5 linked regions of the Rattus norvegicus genome follow. The protein of the gene in region 1 purifies or fractionates together with the protein of each later gene. This does not show direct contact. Links are inferred from orthologs where the notes say so. Each region holds a gene or a part of one and is shown in the gene's direction. Other genes may lie near its edges.

Region 1 (4,112 bases):
CATCTCTTTCAACCCTACTCATTAGCATCTAGGCCCTTCTAGGCCAAGCAGAGCTTATGCTGTGCCTTACATGAGTGAAGATTTGTAGCACAAAAAAGGAAGAGGAGGAGGAGGAGGAGGAGGAGGAGGAGGAGGAGGAGGAGGAGGAGGAGGAGGGGTTGGGGATTTAGCTCAGTGGTAGAGTGCTTGCCTAGGAAGAGCAAGGCCCTGGGTTCGGTCCCCAGCGGTCCCCAGCTCCGAAAAAAAGAACGAAAAAAAAAAAAAAAAAAAAAAAAGCAGCAGCAACAGCCACCCAGGGTCACATAGGGAGGGGGGCCAAGTTCAGTGTTCTGCTCTCCTAGCCTTTGTTTGCAGGTATGCTATTCCCTAGTTTTCAAAAATTAATTTCTGGGACTTGGAGAGGTGGCTCAGCAGTTATGAGCCTTGGATACCCAGAAGGCACAAGTTCTATTCCCAGCACCCACATAGTGACTCACAACCATCTATAACTCCAGTTCCGGGGTATCTGACAGCTTTGGGCACCAGGGATGCATATGATATGCAGACACTCACATAGGTGAAACATACGGCACATGCCTTTAATTCTAGCACTAGGGCGCAGAGGCAGTTGGATCTCAGAGTTCCAGACCAGCCTAGGACTGTGTACTGAGATCCTGTCTCAAAATAAATACATTATTTTTTAAGTGAATTTTTGGATTCAACATCAGTGTGCTTTTGGCCTTACTCATTAAGTCTATCTGTTGTAGTTCTGGTCATAAAGTCCTAGAGGGACCAGAGCCACAAAGGCACTGATGCCTGGAGGCATGATTCAATGCAGAGAGGACAGCTTAGTAGCTACCCTCACGAATAAGGACACTTGAAGAGGGTCCCCAGGTAGGGATCCCGCAGTCGGCCTGTGGGCAAGGGCTAACGGTTTGGAAGGCTGAATGAAGGCCTCAGGTATCCTGGAGCAGGTCAGACTGCGAAGCTTCGGGCGACAGAGGTTCGAAAACCCGGGACTACACCCTGGCGCACCACAGTGGAGTGCAGGGAATCACCCTGTCGTGGTCGGCCCTGGAGTGGAGCAGATGAAGACTACTCCGAGAACCAGCTCGGACCCAGCCCCGGGGCTGTTCCCCTCTCTAGCGCACGCGCCATTGCCTCCCGGTGCCTCCCGCCCCCTGGAAACCCTCCAGCATCGCGGCTAGCGTCATTTGCCAGTGAGACGGGAGCGGAGGGTACTGGACCAATGGGCGTCGGCGACAGTGCGGGGTGTGGTTGCCAGGGGCGGGGCCCGACCTCCTCCATCCTCTCCAGCCGGGCGGCGGCGTCTTGGGGTCTGGACGCTGATGCCACCGGTCGGGCGGGTATGGAGGCGGCGCGCTGCGCACCGGGATCCCGCGGGGACAGGTCAGGCGGCGGAGAGACGGGCAGGGGTCTCCAGGGGGGGCGGGCAAGAGCGGAGGCCAGGCTCTTGTACCCAGGCTGGGCAGGGGCTATGCACACCCTGTGTCTCCAGAGCTCTCTTGTCGCTCTCCTGGAGTTTACCCCGAACCAGCTCGCCCTTCACCCCTAGGGCCTCGGAATCTCTGACTTGCAGTGCGCTGTGCTTCCTGCGCCGCAAGCTCTCTCGAGCCGCTCCCCTGGAGTTTACCCCGGACGAGCTCTCCATGCTCCCCTAGGGTCTCGATTCCCTCACTTGCAATGCGTTCTCCCGTCTCTGTCTCTCTCGACTTGGATCAGAACTGAGCTGGAAGGAGGGCACTCCTGGGAGTCGAAGCGGAAGGTCGAGGGTGATGGTTAATTGGTTCCAAGGCCGTTGCTTTTGGCAGTCATTGCGGAATTCTGGAACGAGTCCGAGGACTGAAAATGCAAAACTGTTCTTTTCTTCTTTCTTTCTTCCCCTGAGTTCCAGGAGTTCTTTCAGTGAGGCCTGTCTTAGTTTAGACTGTTCCATACTCTCGTTAGTGCCCCCGATTTCTCTACCAAGACCCCTCTTTTTTCCTGGTTCACAGAGTGAGCTTGGGAAAGCAAACGGGCTGCAATCCCAGCCTCCTCATTTCTCGTCAGCTAGGCTAACGAAAAGTTAATGGGGGGCCCTGTGAAATCACTGTCTCAAAACTTCAGCATTGTGTGAGGATTGAAACCAAACACGCCAACTGCATTCTTCCTTTACCCTTCCGTTACCACAGCAGATAAAGACTTGGCGTAAGGATTTAGTCTGACGTTTAAACGAGTTTTTAACTGGCCCGAAACCATCTTTTAAGAAGTTACAATAGAGACCCGTGCTCTCCATCGGTGTCATACAAGACTAAGCTTCCCTCAAACTTGACAATAAGGCTGACTTTGAACATTTGTTTCCTACCTCTGCTTCCCAAGGCTGACCTATTTTCATCTTTCATCAAGTAAATTCTATAAACTTGATAGCTGCTCGCCGAAATTTGTTTTCAACTCCCCCTCCATTTTGGGAACAGAAAATACATTTGCAAGTATTAGGCCGGGTTAGCAAAGTTAGTATTCAGCATGTCCGGGTGAAATCAGATGATATCTCGTTCAGCTGAGGGATTTCATTTTTAACTAAACGATTTTAGAGAAGTCAATTCCATAGGAATGTAATTTTTATTTTGAGGTAGGTCTTATGTAGCAGGACTGAAACTCGATATTTAAACCAGGCCAGCTTCGAACTCACACAGATCCATCTGTCTCTGCCTTCCATGACTCACGATTTTAGGGAACAGGAACTTGACTTTGAGATTGGGACCAGCTGGCAGGTTTTGTTTTGTTTTGTTTTTTTTTATTTTATTTTATTTTTCATCTCCTGAACTTGAAGCTTAAAGGAATAATTTTAAGCACCTCCCCCATTCTTCCAAAGAAAAGAAACCGACTCTAATTTCTAGTTGATTGACACGTTAGGAGCCAGTGCGAGGCCCTAGTTTCTCCTGCCCTAGGTAGAGCATGAAGCTCTGTCACTGTTTAACTCGTTTGTTGCTAAAAGCCAGTGAATGTCTCCCTTTTTAGGCTGTCCTTAATAGTTTTTTGAGAGAGACTGAGACTGACTTGGTTGAATGTCAGTATAATCCGGTAATCCAGGCTAGCCTCAAACTCAAAATCCCCCCTGCCTGAGCCTCCCAAGTGTCTTATATAGGCATGCATCACCAAGCCTGGACGTACTTGTGTACTAGGTTCTCTCTCTCTCTCTCTCTCCCCCTCTGTCCCTCTCTCCCTCACTCCCTTCCCACCCCTCTCAGGTTTGAAATTTTCTTTACATCCTTACCAAAATTTCCCCTTCCCCCTCTCCTCCCAGTATCCTCCTCCCTTCCCACCCCCCCACCCCCCATCTACTCCTCTTCTCTTTCTCTTCAAGAAAGGGCAAGCCTACCCATAGATATCAGCCAGTCATGGCATATCAGGTTGCATTAAGACTAGGCACCTCCTCTTCTATTAAGGCTGGAGGAGGCCATCCAATAGGAGGAAAGAATCCCCAAATGAGGTAACAGAGTTAGAACCAGCCCCTGCTCCCACTTTAGGAGTCTTATAAGAAGACTATGCTACACAATTGTAACATATGTGCAGAGAGCCTAGGTCAGTCCCATGCATGCTCCCTGGTTGGCGGTTCAGTCTCTGTGAGCGCCTGTGAACCTCAGTTAGTTGATTCTGTAGGTTTTCTTGTGGTGTCTTTGACCCCTCTGGCTTCTTCAATCCTCCTTCTCTTCCACAGGATTCCCTAAGCTCCACCTAATGTTTAGCTGTGGGTCTCTGTATCTGTTTTCATCAGTTGCTAGGTGAAGCCTCTCTGATGATGGCTACATTAGGCTCCTGTCTGCAAGCATAGCAAACAGGATATCATTAACAGTGTCAGGGGTGATCTCTCTCTTACGGCATGGGTCTCAAGCTGGACCAGTCACCGCTTGCCCATTTCCTCTTCCTCTGCTCTGTCTTTACCCCTGTACATCCTACAGGCAGGACAGATTGTATGTAGGTTGAAGGGTTTGTGGCTGGGTTGCTGTCTCCATCCCTCCACTGGAAATCTTGTCTCGGTTTGGGCTCCACATCCCCATTGTTAGGAGTTTTAGCTAGGGTCACCCTCACAGATTCCTGGGAGTTTCCATTGCATGAGATTTCTAGCTCACCCC
Region 2 (3,514 bases), on another chromosome or scaffold:
CGACCGCACTTCGTGGAGTGAGCTGGCCAGAGCCTGTCTGCATCACATGGAGGTGGAGTTTGCCATTCGCGTTTCCCGGACGATGGGGGACGTTGGCACCGTGATGTCCTTGGAACAAATAAAGGTATGCAGTAGTTCATGAGTCACTAGATCACAGCATAGATGTGGCTTACTCAGCTTTTTACGTTTTCGTCTCAATTCAAACAACTGAATAGGTGGTCTGATAGCTCTTCCTCCTGAGCAAAGCCTTTGAAAGTGAAAGCCTTATATTTCTTCTCACGACACTGCTTTTCCTTGTAGGGAATTGAGGACTACAATCTTTTGGCAGGACATCTCGCCATGTTTACTAATGACTTCAACCTGGCTCAGGACCTGTACCTGGCATCCAACTGCCCGGTGGCAGCCCTGGAGGTATGACAGCAAAGAGAACAGGCAGTCACCCTTCTCTACAGTCAGACTTGGCAGCGCCAGGCACCACGTGGCTTCCTCTCCTGACGTGTAGACATTCAGCTTTCAGAGCCCCTGAGTACTCATTAACTTCAAAACCACTTTCATCCTGCATTCAGTGGAGGTATAAAAAAGGCATGGTGTTGTAGCACTGCTAAATAATTCAAAGTCTAAATGTGTCCAAAGAGAAAAGGCTGTGTATAACTTACAAACTGTAAAAAGGAAAGTAGATGTCGTTTGTTGCTTGTTCATGTTGCCCAGGTGCTGTCCCAAGCTCCTGACCTGTATTACCTCATTTAACCCTCTCAACAATCTATCTTATAGACTAGTACCGTTATTTTCTCTATTTCCCACATGAGGACCTTGAAGCACATTGATCTTCTAGTTCCTGCATGGACCTCTCCTCTCTGTGAGGAGCTGACGACTGCAGATGGGGAACAGAACAGAATGTGGGGCTAAGTTCAGAGTCAGAGGGGAAGGGAGCCTGCAGACACAGACTAGCAGTTGAAGGGCATAGACTAGCCGGCTCTCAAGAGGCAGACAGGAGGAGTGCTGGAGTTCAAGGTCAGCCTGGCCCAAATAACAAGTTCTAGGTTAGCCAGGGCTACATAGCAAGACTGGGGGGGGAGGGGTTGAGGCACATCTGGATTCAGATCCCACCTGTTTGTGACCTTGGGCATGTCCTTTGACCTCTCTCAGCTTAGGTCCTTCTTCTTTAAAGTGTGGATAATGATGCCTAACCCTCAGGGTGGTAGGGCAAGAAAATGAGTTTAGAGTACAATAAATTAGAAGTAATTTATATAACAAGCAGTAGCCAGAAATAAGCAAACAAACCTCGAACTTCTGGTCATCTTTTCTCAAAGAAAATAGATTGCATCTATCTGTTACAATATATTTATATTCTAATATATAATAAAACATGATATTAGCTTCATAAAGGCCCTGAGGTGACAGTTCAGAACCAAGGGCTAATGGCACCCTACAGTTCCTTCAGCCTCCCTTAGCGAGACAAGTTACTTAGGAAGAAAGCCCTGCCTCCCACCTGCTCTCCCTTGCTGGCCATGCAGCCTTGTGTAAGACCTGGCCTGACTTTGCTTCCATTTCTGGATCTATGAAATGGACACAAGAATATTGCAAAAGATAGTTGTGAAAAATGAAATAAGTTCATGTTCTAGACCAGGACCAGGTAAGAAAATAGCACTTGGAAAGATTACTTACGAATTCTTTACAGTTTAAATCAGTGAGGAATGAATTGGACACATTCTTCAGTAGTGACCTGGTATATTGTTTGCCAAATACTTGTAAGACACCACAGGATCCAGAAAGGAAGATGCTTTATATGTTGTGGTTTCTGTTATTCATGTTGCAACATAGCTTCAAATCACCTAAGAAGCCATATCAGGGGCCAGAGAGATGACTCACCTGGTAAGGCGCTGGCCACCATGCCTGGTGACTTGTCTTTGATCCCCAGAACCCACGTGATACAAGGAGAAAACTGACTCCTGTGAGTTGTCCTCTGACCTCCGTACACACAGTAACACACATGTGCTTATGCACACAGACATAAATAAATGTAACTTTAATAAAAAAAAGAAAGAAAGAAAAGAAAGAGAAAGAAAAAAAAAAGAAAAGGTGCATCAGTTCCAGCCAAGTTAGTAGCTCATGTCTGCAATCCCAGCAAGAAACAGACTTAGGAAGGTTGCTTTAAGTTCAAAGCCAGCCTGGACTATGTAGTCTTATTCCAGGCCAGTCAGGAACGCATAGCAAAATCCTGCCTCAGCAATAACAGAAGGAAGGAAATCAATTTCTAAAGTGTTTCCTAGGTTTTTTATTCGTGTCCTTCTATGGTGAAATTTTCAGTTAATTGATTATATTAGCTTTAATTTCTCACTATTGGAAAAAAATACTAAAAAATAAATTTTTTATTAGATTTTGTTTTGAGAGGAGCACAAGCTACCATACTAGCTAAGATTTTTGTCCAGTCTAGAAGACTCTTGTACTGCCTTTCGGACTATATCTTATAGCAGTGTCTTTGTAAATAGAAAGTTTTATTATTTAAGGAAAAAAATGTAATTCCTTTTACTAAGCCTGGCTCTCTGCGGTGACTTTAAAAAGCATGTTGCCTTCTGGACCTTAGGGCTTTGTTTTCCAACAGATGAGGCGGGACCTGCAGCACTGGGACAGTGCTCTGCAGCTGGCGAAGCGCCTGGCCCCAGACCAGATTCCCTTCATCTCCAAAGAGTATGCCATCCAGCTGGAGTTCACGTAAGTCCTGCCTCTGGAGCTTCTCATCAGTAGCTAATTAATGCACGCTACAGTTCCAAACTGTCACAGTTTAGAAGGCTCTTCTTCAATAATGGGGGGGGGGGGTGTTAGAGTTAATGAGAAAGGAGCTGGGAGTTCTGCATCTTGATCTGAAGGTAACCAGGAAAGATGGGTGTCCTTAGACAGCTAGGAGGAAGCTCTTTTCTGCAGTGGGTGGAGCCTGAGCATAGGAGGAGGCCTCTTAAGCCCAGCCCCACAGTGACACACTTCCTCCAACAAAGCCACACCTCCTCCAACAAGGCCACACCTCCTCCAACAAGGCCACACCTCCTCCAACAAGGCCACACCTCCTCCAACAAGGCCACACCTCCTCCAACAAGGCCACACCTCCTCCAAGGCACATCTCCTAACAATGCCACTTCCTATGGGCCAAGCATATTCAAATTACCACACTAGGTTATTTATCAAGACCAGAAAATTCAGGCTAGAGAGACAGCTCAGTAGTAGTTAAGAGCACTTCTCCAAGGACCCAAGTTTGGTTCCCAGCACCCACACTGGGTGGCTCACAATGGCCTGTAAGTCCAGCTCCAGGGAAATCTCTCACCTCTGGTCTCTGCAGTTATCCACACATATGTGCACATACTCACATGCATAATTTAAAATAAAGTAATCTTTTGAAGAAGAAACTTCTCATAGATGTAGAGATGGAGAAACCCAAGTCAAAGTCACAGCATTTGGTAAGGTTTGTTCTTGAATTTTTACACTATGGAATGCTAAAGAATAGGAGAGAAAGAGAGTATTC
Region 3 (3,514 bases), on another chromosome or scaffold:
TCTGTGAATCATTTTTCATGCAGCACAGAAGTCAAGGAGGATAGCATTGTGGGATAAATAAGTAAGTTCGTTTTGATCCTGGAGCATGAGGAAGTTGGGAAAAAAAATCAAACTGCACTTTGCTGAGCTATGTTGCGGTTGTCTGCCATTTGGAATATGGGTCACTGTCTCCAGAAATGAGGTGGAGAACAAGTGTGAAACAGAACCCACAAGAGGGGAGCAGAGCAGAGGTTCTAGAGAATATTGCATGACTGAGCTCTAGGAAAGGCAAGGTGTAGCCCTGCAGAATCCAGACTGTAAAAGAGCTGTCTGTGTGCACCTATGTCCTTTCTGTCTCTCACTCATGTGGTCCTAATGCAGGCGGACAGTGTCACAGGATTCCTCACCTTTGTTTGTGAAGTAAGGAAGCCCCGTAGTTACAGTGATGGTGAGAGTGTGGCTTCCCTCTTTGAGTAGGTCAGCAGCTGAATCTTAGATGCATTTTCAAGAAAAGTAGACCCAATTTGTCACAGCTTGTGTCCTGGCTATGACAACTTGACACACCCAGGGTCATTTGAGAATAAGATACTTCAGTTGAAAATATGCCACCATTAGATTGCCTGTAGTCAAGTATCCAAGGAACTTTCCTGGTTGATGCTGGAGGGCCCTTCTCATTGTAGGTGATGGTGGTTCTCTGTGATATAAGAAAACAGTCTGAGCAAGCCAGTAAACCACACTCCTCTATGTCCCTCTGACTTCTCTGCACCACAAACTAAGATGAAGTGAACCCTATCCTTCCTGAGTTGCTTTTGATCATTGTGTTTTATTAGGGCAAGACATCAAGGACTCATTCTGGAAATAGGAACTGAAGCAGTCTTAGTTACTTGTGTATTCTGGGAAGAGACACCATGACCAAAGCAACTTAAAGAAGTGTTTATTGGAGACTTGCTTACAGTGTCCAAGGGTTAGAGTTCAAGACCATCATGGCCATGGGTCTGACAGTAGCTGAGAGGTTACATCCTAAGCCGCAAGCAGTAGGGAAGGAGGGAGGGACGGAGAGACAGAGATAGTGAGAAAGAGAAAGATAGAGACTGGCAGAGAGACAAAGATAAGGCCTACTTTGGATGTTTGAACCATCAAAGCCTCCAGACACACCTCCTCTAACAAGACCAAACCTTTCAATCCTTCCAAAACAGTTTCAGTGACTAGAGATCAAGCATTCAAATATACGAGCCTAAGGATTTTCTCATTCAACCTACCACAGTGGAGGAATACTGCTTATTGCTTACTGATTTGCTTTTCATGGCTAACTCAGATTGTATGTATGTGTGTATGTATGTGTGTATGTATTCATATATGTGAATATTTTTCATGACTACCTGCTGCTCAGTGGTGCCCAGAGTGGGCTGGAGCCCCCCACATCAATCATTAGTCAAGAAAATGCCTCAGAGGCTTGCCTTTAGGCTAATCTAAGGATTTCATCAATCAAGGTTCCTTCTTCCCAGGTGACTCTTGTCTTCGTCAAGTTGACAGAGCCAAACCAAATTTTTAAAAGTAGCAAACTAACCAGCTCTAGTCTCTTCATTTTCTTGGTCCACAGTTTTGTTTTGGTTTTTTTGTTTGTTTGTTTGTTTGTTTTTTGTTGTTGTTGTTTGTTTTCTTTTTCTTTTTTTCTAAAATCTTCAAAGAAGATAAAGCCAAAGAAGGTAAAATGTAAACGTAGTCTGACTCCAATATTGTTGAAAAGAACTAATTATAGGGAACAAAAGAAAATTACACCGAAAAAGAGAAACACTGACTTTTGAATAATTCCATGGTCACTCAGTCTCATCCTTACTATTGAGTGCCCAGGGTTAAAGACATTTTAAAGAGCAGAGAAGAAACTATATTAAGTTCTGGATTATCCAAGATTGATGTCTTCTTCTGAATATTAACCTGCCTGTTAACCATTAGTCATTATTTCCTTGTAGACACTGATCAATTACTATTGTCAAGAGAGATACTATCACCATGTGCTCCTTGTGGCCAGTGAAGGGATGAAGAAGTATAGCAGTGACCCAGTCTTCCGATTTTACCATGCCTACGGCACACTAATGGAGGGTACGTGCTGATCATCAGATGTCTTCCCTATGCTCTGAATCCTAGCTTGAACTAAGTATACTAATTGTTTTTCAAACCCCAATCTTGATTTCCAGGTAAAGCTCAAGAAGCCCTTCGGGAGTTTGAGGCCATTAAAAATAAACAAGACGTGTCACTGTGTTCCCTGATGGCGCTGATGTATGTCCATAAAATGAGCCCCAATCCAGGTACAGCATTTAAGTGTAGCATTGAGATAGATTCCATGTTCTGCTTACTGCGACTTAATGATTTTTAGTTTTCTATCCATGGTGCTATATATGTAATGTTTTATCTTCCTGGCCAGAGTATAAATTCATCCGTTTCATGCTGCTTTTATGCATCCTATGACAGTTATTTCAATGGTGCATAGCAATGGTCTGAGTTAACAGAGTTGACTGTGTAAATGTTAGCAACTGTTTCACAAAGCAATGAAAGGACAACCAAAGAAGAGTGACACACACAGACTGTGCAAATGTGTAGCAATGTGCAGTTTCTCTCCTTAGACAACGTAGTAAGCTTCATGAGGACTTTGATAGTTCCCATTGTTCATAGCTCCTGAAAAATGTTCAGTAAATTTTCATTGTGTCGTACTTGAGACATGTGGCTATATTATGGAAGTAACATGATTTTCATTGTAGAGTAGTTGGGACGTATGGCTTTATTATGGAGAGAACATTATTCTTGGTAGTATTTGAGATGTAAGACTATATTATGGAAGGAACTCTGTTCTTTATAGTAGTTGGGATTCATGGCTATCATGGGGATGGAATGTTACTTAGGTAGTAGTTGGGACATGTGGATATATTGTGGAAGGAATGGTCTTTAAAGTTGAGTTGCATTGTGTTAGCAAGTAATATAAGGTATGACTGAGAAGAGAAGAGAATCCAAGCTATAAGTAACTTAAAACTATACGTGTATGTCCAGTAACAATTAATAGCACTGTAAGTATTTTAAATAATTAAATAAGCTGCATGTCATAGAATGAGCTTTTAAATATTGGAAACACTTTTATCTTTAAAAAATTATCACATGCCTCTTTCATGCCAAGCACACATACACAGATAAAAATAAAAATAAAAAAACACTGTTTGACAAGTAACCAGTTATGTACCTTCTGTTAGGACTGTGCTAAATACATTTCCAGGATACAAAAGAGTTATAGTGAGTGACCCACACATCCGTGCTTCAGAATTGGATTGTAGAATTGGGTAGACTGAGATCTAGTCCTGACACTGACCCTAGCATTTGTATCATTTTAGAATATTACTGGGTTTTTAAATATACATTTGATTAACAAAAATAATTGCCTTTCTTAGGAATGACATAAACTGCCCAGCTAGTACATGACTAAGTGTGCCTTTGGAATCTGAAAGGTGGATACTCTGATTGTATACCAGACTCTTTTATTTCTTTTTTC
Region 4 (4,083 bases), on another chromosome or scaffold:
TCTTCGAATCTATTCACTTCTAACCCCCTCACCAAGGTTCCCAAAACCCTGTCATTGTGCTAGGGAGCGGAAACCCATTCCCAGAACCAGCACTGCCAGCGCCACCAAACAAAATACATCAGTCCAACAGGACCCACTCGCCGGCGCGCCAGGCCGTGTCCCCAGGCGCATTCCGGTCGTTCCCCAGCGGCGGTGGACTCCTATGGAGTCCGTCACCGAAACCCGTCACTTCCTGACCGTGGGAGGCGCGGGCACTGCGGGCCTCGTCCCGGCTCCACACCCTTTGTCCCATTTCGGGTGGGAGAAGCTCGCACCTTCCTAAAGAGCTGACCGCTGGCTGCACACGGCACAGCCCGCGAATACCGCGGCCCCTCCGCGGATCCCGTAGGCTCCCGAGTGCAGCCTGCGGTCACCTTTTTCATCCACGCTTCCCGGCAGACTGGCTCCCGGATCCCGGGCCTCCGCAGAACCGACGGGGCCGGGCAGCTCCGGCTGCGGCGAGGCCGCGATGCCGGGCTGGTAGTCGTGTGTCAGACGCGGTCACCGAGCACTGTTCCCTTCGCAACTCCTCTCTGTGGACCGGCGCGCGGCTAACAGGGCTGACGGCGCCGGTGCTGCCGCCACTCGCCCTCCCACACCCGGGACGCCGCGCTCTCTAAACAGTTCCGGCTACGGCGGCCGCCCGGGACCTGAAGTCGGCGCCGGAGCGGGGCGGGGCGAACGTCCCGCAAAAAAAGGCGAGCACGTCCAGCTTTTCTGCGGGCGCGCCCAACCAGCTAGGCTGCCATTGGTCAGTAGGCGTTACGTGCGCGCGCCCGCACGGTGTACAGGGGCGGGCCCGCAACGTGGGGCGTGTTGTGACGGCAACCTCGCGCCCTTGCGGGTCGTGCGTCTCTTCCGATTGGCGAACCGACAGCCAATAGGGTCAGCGTTCTGGTTGTGATTGGCTGAGACTGTGTTGACGGATGCGTGAGAAGAAATCACCGCCTCAGCGGGGCGTCTTGAAGCGCGCGCGAACTCGGGTGGGGACTATGCACTCTGAAATCAGGTTTAGGACCATAAATATATCGTAGCACAGCCCACTAACAGTTTTCCTGCTCGAAACGATAAGGAAATGTTTTTTAAAACTCTAATCCTTATGCATGTGGCGTTTGAGACGGAGTATTCCAGTTCGCAGAAGGTCTCCGTCTCTGGTTATCCCCTTGGCTCGTTGGCGTGGACCGTGCTACTGCGCCTGCTCTCCAGCGACACCCGCCGTTGGCTAACGCTGGCTAAAGTACGCACGGTCGCCCAGGGAACCCTAGCTGCTGCAAGGTTCTGCTGAGTGCCGCTTGCAGCGGTCTCCCGAGGCGTCAACGCGCCACACTCCCGGGCGGCGTCCGGTACTCAGAACTTCCCGGAGAAGCTCTCGAGCCGCGCCCTCCCATCCGAGTCGATGCAACTAAGCTCCCCGAGGTGTCGACTGATGGCCTGCGTGGTGGGGTGGGCAGGATGAACTCGAGGATAAAAGTATCAGGAGGCTTGACGCAGCTTGCCCTGAGTAGCAAATAGTTCTGGCCCACCCATTAGCAAGAAGGCCAAACTGTGGTCCTGAGACGGGCCTGAGACTCAGAGCTGCGCCGGGAAGGACCGACTGTCTTTGGCTCTTTGCGCCTCTAGTCGCCAGTCGTCTTTTTGGGAGCCATCGGAGGCGCGGCCGTCCCTGAACTTGCTTCCACTTTCTGTAGCGGCGTTGTCCGGGCGACACGGAGGCACAGGGAATCTGCGGAAGTTAGACTCCTATACCTGAGGTGCAAAGGCGTCTGGGGCTGGAGTGGGGAGTGGCTGGGGGTGGGATAGGGTCCTTCAGGATCGGCCTGGGGCCTAGAGATGACCTGCCAGGACCCTTTCGATTCCTCTCTGTGCTGGCTTCACAAGAATTCTCTCTGCCCAGTCCTAGAGCCCCCTGCTGGACTTTTGAGTTGCCGCGTGGTTACCTCTGCATGCATTTAGTTTGAAGTTGGGGGAAGCCAAAATCCGTGACTTGGTTAATTTTCGGGTGGCTTATGAAAATAGCATGATCTGACTGGACCACCTTGAACTACACAGTCCTTCAATAATGTTTACATGATGCAGCTAGTGACCTTATTCTGGCCCAGAGAGCTAGACTTTAGATCATTGGTCACTACCCTGAAAGGCTACTCTAGAACTCATCCTCTTGTTCCTGAGAGTCTCTGACAGTTGTAACTTGTCTTTAATTGTTAGTATGATTCCTTGGCATAATGAGTTTAACTAGCTTTCCTAAGAGTTGGCTTGATGGAGCTACTTACCTCTGAAAATGATTGACAACTATAAAAATGAGGATCAATTGACTGGAAAAAGTGAAATTGCCTTTTTCTTGCTTTAGGGCCTCCATACTTGAAACTTGTTCCTGAACTAAGGCCATTAACAGATTTTCAAATAACTATTTTATTGTGAACATCTGCCTTTTAAAATTTATTTAATAACTTTTTAATTATTTGGCTAATTCTCATTTTAAAACTTAAGAGTTCTGGTCAGTAGTGCTTCACACGTTTAATCCCAGGACTTGGGAGGCAGAGGCAGGCAGATCTTTGTGAATTTGAGGCCAGCCTGGGCTACAGAGCAAGTTCTAGGACAGTCAGGGCTAAACAGAAATCTTGCCTTGAAAGACAAAACAAAACAAAACAAATGAACAATAAAAAACCTTAAGCGCGGGGTTGGGGATTTAGCTTAGTGGTAGAGCGCTTGCCTAGCAAGCGCAAGGCCCTGGGTTCGGTCCCCAGCTCCTAAAAAAAGAAAAGAAAAGAAAAGAAAAACCTTAAGCACAAGTGAGGAGAGAACAGACAATTAGAACATTGTATAAAAATGGAAATACTAAAGTGTCAGGTAGCACTTTTTTTTAAAAAATAAGTTTTTTGTTTTTTTTTTTTTTGAGACAAGGTCTCACTGTGTATCCTTGGCTGCCTGGAACTCACTGTAGTAGACCATATTTCCTCAAGCACATAGGGATCTCGGCTTCTTATGTGCTGGGATTGAAAGCTTGTGCCACCATATTTGGCTTATTTCTAATGTCTGTGTGCAGTCTGCAGAGGCCAGCGTGGCATCAGATCCCAGAGGAACTGCAGTTCTAGCCAGCTGTGAGCTGCCTGATGCGAGTGCTGGGGACTGAACTCACGTCACCTGGAAGATCTCTTAACCACAGAATCATCTTTCAAACCCATGTATCAAATCAAATGCAGCATCTCCCCAGTCACTGTGGCTTTGTGATCCTGACTGTCCTCTGCCACCTATAAGTCATAGCTAGCAGACATTCTTTTGAGTTTTGGTTTCTATGAAGTTGAATGCTGTTTTTTCTCTGTACAGATATTTTATGGGCAGTTTGCTTTTCTCTAGTTTCAGCTTTGTCTTTGAGGGTGTCCGTAGAAATCGAACCCATGCTTATCTTGTCTGGAATGAGAGTGATCAAGAATTATTTGAAACCCCCGTTTAGTACTTGCTCATTCTATTCCATTTAGTTCTCTCTTAGCAAAGAATTTGACTTCTTTTCCAGCACACGTTGGGTCATTCCAAGTTCAAGCCTTTGCTTTTTATATTTCTCCTTAATAGAGATCTCTAACAAATAAGTTCACTTAAGAAACACGTCAAGCTGCTTTGTGTCTTTGTAAGTGTGCTTCCCTTTTGCAATTCTATACGCTGTCATTCTTAGTTGGTTTCCCCCGCTCTGCAGGTCTCATCCTTGACTAAGTCTGTGCATCACCATGGCACTGTATTTTGACCACCGAATCAAAGCTCCAGATGCATCCAGCTCTCCCTCTCACATCACCTGGCACCCCACCCACCCATTCCTGGCAGTGGCATCTGTAAGCCCATCTTCTGGAGGCAACGTAGACATCTACCTTGAACAAGTGAGTCCTTGGAGTGACATTGACTTCAGCAGCTCCTGACCCTTGTGCTCTTTTCTCCTCCCGAGTCATAGAGGCCAGGAGGCAGCATAGCTCAGCTCTAGAGACCTCTAAATCAGTTTGTCCAAGGGCCAGTTGTTCCTAAGCACCAAAGCCCTGGTGTCTGGCAGTTCTTTCATCC
Region 5 (3,514 bases), on another chromosome or scaffold:
AGCTCACCAAGTCCCCCTAACCTTTAAAATACTTAAAACATCTAAGCTTAGTCAAAATACCTAGACAGTCCAGGTAGTGGTGGCATGCACCTTTTTAATCTCTGCACTCAGGAAGCAGAGGCAGGAGAATCTCTTGAATTCTAGGCCAGCCCGATCTACAGAGCAAGTTCCAGGACAGCCAGGGCTATGCAGAGAAACCCTGTCTCAAACCAAACCAACTAACCAAGCAAAAAAACCCTTATACCTAAGCACTTCCTCCCCAAACTCTGGATTAGTCAGATTAGTTAGGGATATGACAGGAAATATCTTTAAATTATATTCTTTGCATATAAATGTATCGATTGCTACCTCATTGGTTGAAAATATAGAGCACTTCCATTAGAAGGGGATGACGGGACTCTTTCTTCCCTTAATATAGGTCCATATACTTTTGTTCAGCAACACCTCATGATTGGCACCGATCCTCGAACAATTCTTAAAGATTTATTACCAGAAACAATTCCTCCACCTGAGTTGGATGATATGACACTGTGGCAGATTGTTATTAATATCCTTTCAGAACCACCAAAGCGGAAAAAAAGAAAAGATATTAATACAATTGAAGATGCTGTGAAGTTACTACAAGAGTGCAAAAAGATAATAGTTCTGACTGGAGCTGGGGTAAGTAAGACACATGAAAACAGTAAAGAGAAAAAGCTAGTATATATTTTATTCCTTTTCCAGTTAATTTTTTTGTTTGCTTTGCTTTTGATGTAGTAGTCTTTGTTCATAAAAACTGAGGACAGCAGCATTTGCTAAACTAGTTCAGTGTTTTGAAAAGTTTAACAACTTTAAATCTTTGTATATTTATAGTACAATTGGTAAGTGGAATTACGGGGTTTTTTGTTTGTTTTAAGATCATGTGTGAGAGAGAGAAGGGGGAGAAAGGAGGAGGAGAAAGAGGAGAAACACACACACACACAGAGATTAATTGATTGATTGATTTTTGCCTATATGCATACATGTGCATGGTATGCCTGGTACCCCACAGAGGCCACAAATGAGTATTGGGTTTCCAGGAATGTGGGCCACCATGTGGGTGCTGGCAAACGTGAGTTCTCTTTAAGGAGCAGCAAGTTCTCTTTCATGGCTAGGCTCTCTCTCTAGCTCCTGGACTTGTTTGGTTTTAATTTTATGTGTATGGGTGTTTTATCTGCATGTATGCTTCTCTGCCATTGTGTGAAGTGCTTAAGGAGTCCAGAAGGCATCAGATCTCCTGAAACTGTAGTGATAGATGTTTGTGAGCCTCCAAGTCCTCTGCAAGAGCATCAAGCCACCTTTTCAACCCCTAGAGCTCTTACACACTGAATCCTGGCTCCTCAAGATGACTTAGAAAAATCAGATCCTTTTGAAGTCTGTCATAGCAAGAGTCTAGTGGAGACAGTTTTCATGGAGAAAGTAGAAACTTAATATTAGGGAGTAAGTAACATTTTTACCTTTTTCTTCATTTTAACTTTGTAAGATTGTAGAGACTTGACCTTTTTCATTTGACTTGGTCTAAAACCAAGTCGTATTCTGTGTTATATAGTATGTTAGACATTGTTAGCAGCCAGAGCAGTTTGAGCAAAGTGAAAAGTATTAAATGATGATCAAGAATCTCAGTTGTGGGGCTGGAGAGATGGCTCAGCGGTTAAGAGCACCCGACTACTCTTCCAGAGGTCCTGAGTTCAATTCCCAGCAACCACATGGTGGCTCACAACCATCTCTAAAGAGATCCGATGCCCTCTTCTGGTGTGTCTGAAGACAGCTAACAGTGTACTCATATATAATAAATGAACAAAAAAAAAAAGAATCTCAGTTGTGGGAGGCAGAGGCAGGTGGGCGTGCCTGAAGCAGGTCAGTGTGCACAGCTTCTTAGCCCCAAGTAGGGTTAGTTTGGCCTACAGGTGTGATTCAGACAAGGAGACAAGGGTTGGCTTTTTTTTTTTTTAGGGAAAAATTTGTTTTATGTTTGGGTATGTGTTGTAGTTTGTGTGCTGTGGCACCTGTGGGAGTCCGTACATCCTGAGTTGGGAGTTGCTTGTTTCCTTCCTCTGTCAGTCTTGACTTCGGACTTGGTCAGAAGCACCTTAACTGACTGCTGAGCTATTCTGTATGTAGGCTTCCAGTGTTATTCTTGAAACAGGGGCTTACTCAGGTCTGGCCTGGAACTTGGCAGAGATCCTCCCAGCTATGGGATTATTCCAGGTATGTACTACCATGCCTGGCTGGCTGGCTGGCTGGCTGGCTTTCTTTCTTTTTTTCTTTCTTTCTCTATAGCCTTGGATGATTTCAAACTTTCTTCTCTTTCTGAAGAATTGGGATTAGAGTTGTATTCCAGAGACATTTTTTTCTTTTACTCCAAGTTGAATGAATCCTGTAAATCTGGAATGAAATAAAGCTTGTCAATTCCCCTACTGGGAGTGTTAAGATTTATCTGAAGAAAAAGGATTATATCTAAAAGTTTTGTAGTTTTTATTTATTTAGAGACAGTATCACACTATGTAGCTCTGGCTAGCCTAGAACTTCCTTTGTAGACCAGGCTGACCTCAAACTTGTAGAGATATAGTCCTACTCTGCCTCCCAAATGCAAAGATTAAAGGCCAGTGTCATCATACCTGTTTATTAAAATTTATTAAGATTTGTGTACCCATGTGTAGTAACACATGCTTTTAATTCCAGCACTCAGGAGGCAGAGACAGGTGAATCTGAAAGTTGAAGTCCAGCCTGGTCTACAGAGCAAGTTCCCAGACAACCAGGGCCACACAGAGAAACCTTATCTTGAAAAACCCCCAATTTCTTTTTTAGTTTGTTTGCTGGTATGTGTGTGATGTGTATATGTGTGTATGCACATGTACGCACACACATGAGGATGTCAAGAGGACAACTTGCAAGCATTCTTACGTGTGGTTCCAGGCATCAAACAGGTGGTAGCATGGTAGCCTTTAGCTACCAAGACATCTCACTGTCTCATTGTTGTAATTTATTGTTTTCGCTGCTGGAGTTGTGAACCCAGGACTTAACCATGTGTCAGGCACAGACACTGTACAACTGACTTTATCCTTAGCCCTTTTTACATTACTTAGGGTGGCTACCTGAACTTAAGTGATCATGCCTCAGCTGTCTTAGCTCTGACTATAGACTTGTGCCACTGTTCTGGGTTTTAATCATTACAATTTATAATTAAAAATACATTCCTAGTTGGATACGGTAATGCATTTCCTTTAATCCCAGCCTAGCATTTGACTCTCAGGACCTTACTGTGCTGACGAACTTCAGCATTAGGATGTAGAGACAGGCAGATCCTTGAAGCCTAATGGCTACCCAGCCTATCTCAGATAATGAGAAGCTAGGTGTCCTATGCTTGGGGAGGCAGAGGCAGGGGTAGGGGTGTGTGTGTGTGTGTACAGTGAGATCCTGTCAAAAGACAAAAAACAACCCATAAATAAGTAAATAAATGATACATTTTTGGGCTGGAACGATGGCTCAGAACTTA

Evidence for each region.
Region 2: the proteins of Tulp3 (region 1) and Wdr19 purify together in Homo sapiens (affinity purification with mass spectrometry; 5 studies listed by BioGRID and IntAct, counting the BioPlex papers as one, with this or other methods). This does not show direct contact. The link is inferred for Rattus norvegicus from reciprocal best matches to the Homo sapiens genes TULP3 and WDR19.
Region 3: the proteins of Tulp3 (region 1) and Ttc21b purify together in Homo sapiens (affinity purification with mass spectrometry; 5 studies listed by BioGRID and IntAct, counting the BioPlex papers as one, with this or other methods). This does not show direct contact. The link is inferred for Rattus norvegicus from reciprocal best matches to the Homo sapiens genes TULP3 and TTC21B.
Region 4: the proteins of Tulp3 (region 1) and Ift140 purify together in Homo sapiens (affinity purification with mass spectrometry; 5 studies listed by BioGRID and IntAct, counting the BioPlex papers as one, with this or other methods). This does not show direct contact. The link is inferred for Rattus norvegicus from reciprocal best matches to the Homo sapiens genes TULP3 and IFT140.
Region 5: the proteins of Tulp3 (region 1) and Sirt1 purify together in Homo sapiens (affinity purification with mass spectrometry; 5 studies listed by BioGRID and IntAct, counting the BioPlex papers as one, with this or other methods). This does not show direct contact. The link is inferred for Rattus norvegicus from reciprocal best matches to the Homo sapiens genes TULP3 and SIRT1.

The regions. Positions count from the first base shown.
Region 1 is NC_086022.1:163,315,442-163,319,553, reverse strand, and holds the start of Tulp3 (tubby-related protein 3), read left to right. Parts: upstream 1-1,299; 5' UTR 1,300-1,348; coding exon 1,349-1,389; intron 1,390-4,112. UniProt on the Homo sapiens protein: Negative regulator of the Shh signaling transduction pathway: recruited to primary cilia via association with the IFT complex A (IFT-A) and is required for recruitment of G protein-coupled receptor GPR161 to cilia, a promoter of PKA-dependent basal repression machinery in Shh signaling.
Region 2 is NC_086032.1:43,421,934-43,425,447, reverse strand, and holds part of Wdr19 (WD repeat-containing protein 19), read left to right. Parts: coding exon 1-124; intron 125-300; coding exon 301-411; intron 412-2,602; coding exon 2,603-2,712; intron 2,713-3,514. UniProt on the Homo sapiens protein: As component of the IFT complex A (IFT-A), a complex required for retrograde ciliary transport and entry into cilia of G protein-coupled receptors (GPCRs), it is involved in cilia function and/or assembly.
Region 3 is NC_086021.1:71,337,427-71,340,940, reverse strand, and holds part of Ttc21b (tetratricopeptide repeat protein 21B), read left to right. Parts: intron 1-1,949; coding exon 1,950-2,079; intron 2,080-2,174; coding exon 2,175-2,285; intron 2,286-3,514. UniProt on the Homo sapiens protein: Component of the IFT complex A (IFT-A), a complex required for retrograde ciliary transport and entry into cilia of G protein-coupled receptors (GPCRs). Essential for retrograde trafficking of IFT-1, IFT-B and GPCRs.
Region 4 is NC_086028.1:14,536,184-14,540,266, forward strand, and holds the start of Ift140 (intraflagellar transport 140), read left to right. Parts: upstream 1-1,282; 5' UTR 1,283-1,790; intron 1,791-3,727; 5' UTR 3,728-3,758; coding exon 3,759-3,905; intron 3,906-4,083. UniProt on the Homo sapiens protein: Component of the IFT complex A (IFT-A), a complex required for retrograde ciliary transport and entry into cilia of G protein-coupled receptors (GPCRs).
Region 5 is NC_086038.1:25,308,944-25,312,457, forward strand, and holds part of Sirt1 (NAD-dependent protein deacetylase sirtuin-1), read left to right. Parts: intron 1-418; coding exon 419-660; intron 661-3,514. UniProt on the Homo sapiens protein: NAD-dependent protein deacetylase that links transcriptional regulation directly to intracellular energetics and participates in the coordination of several separated cellular functions such as cell cycle, response to DNA damage, metabolism, apoptosis and autophagy.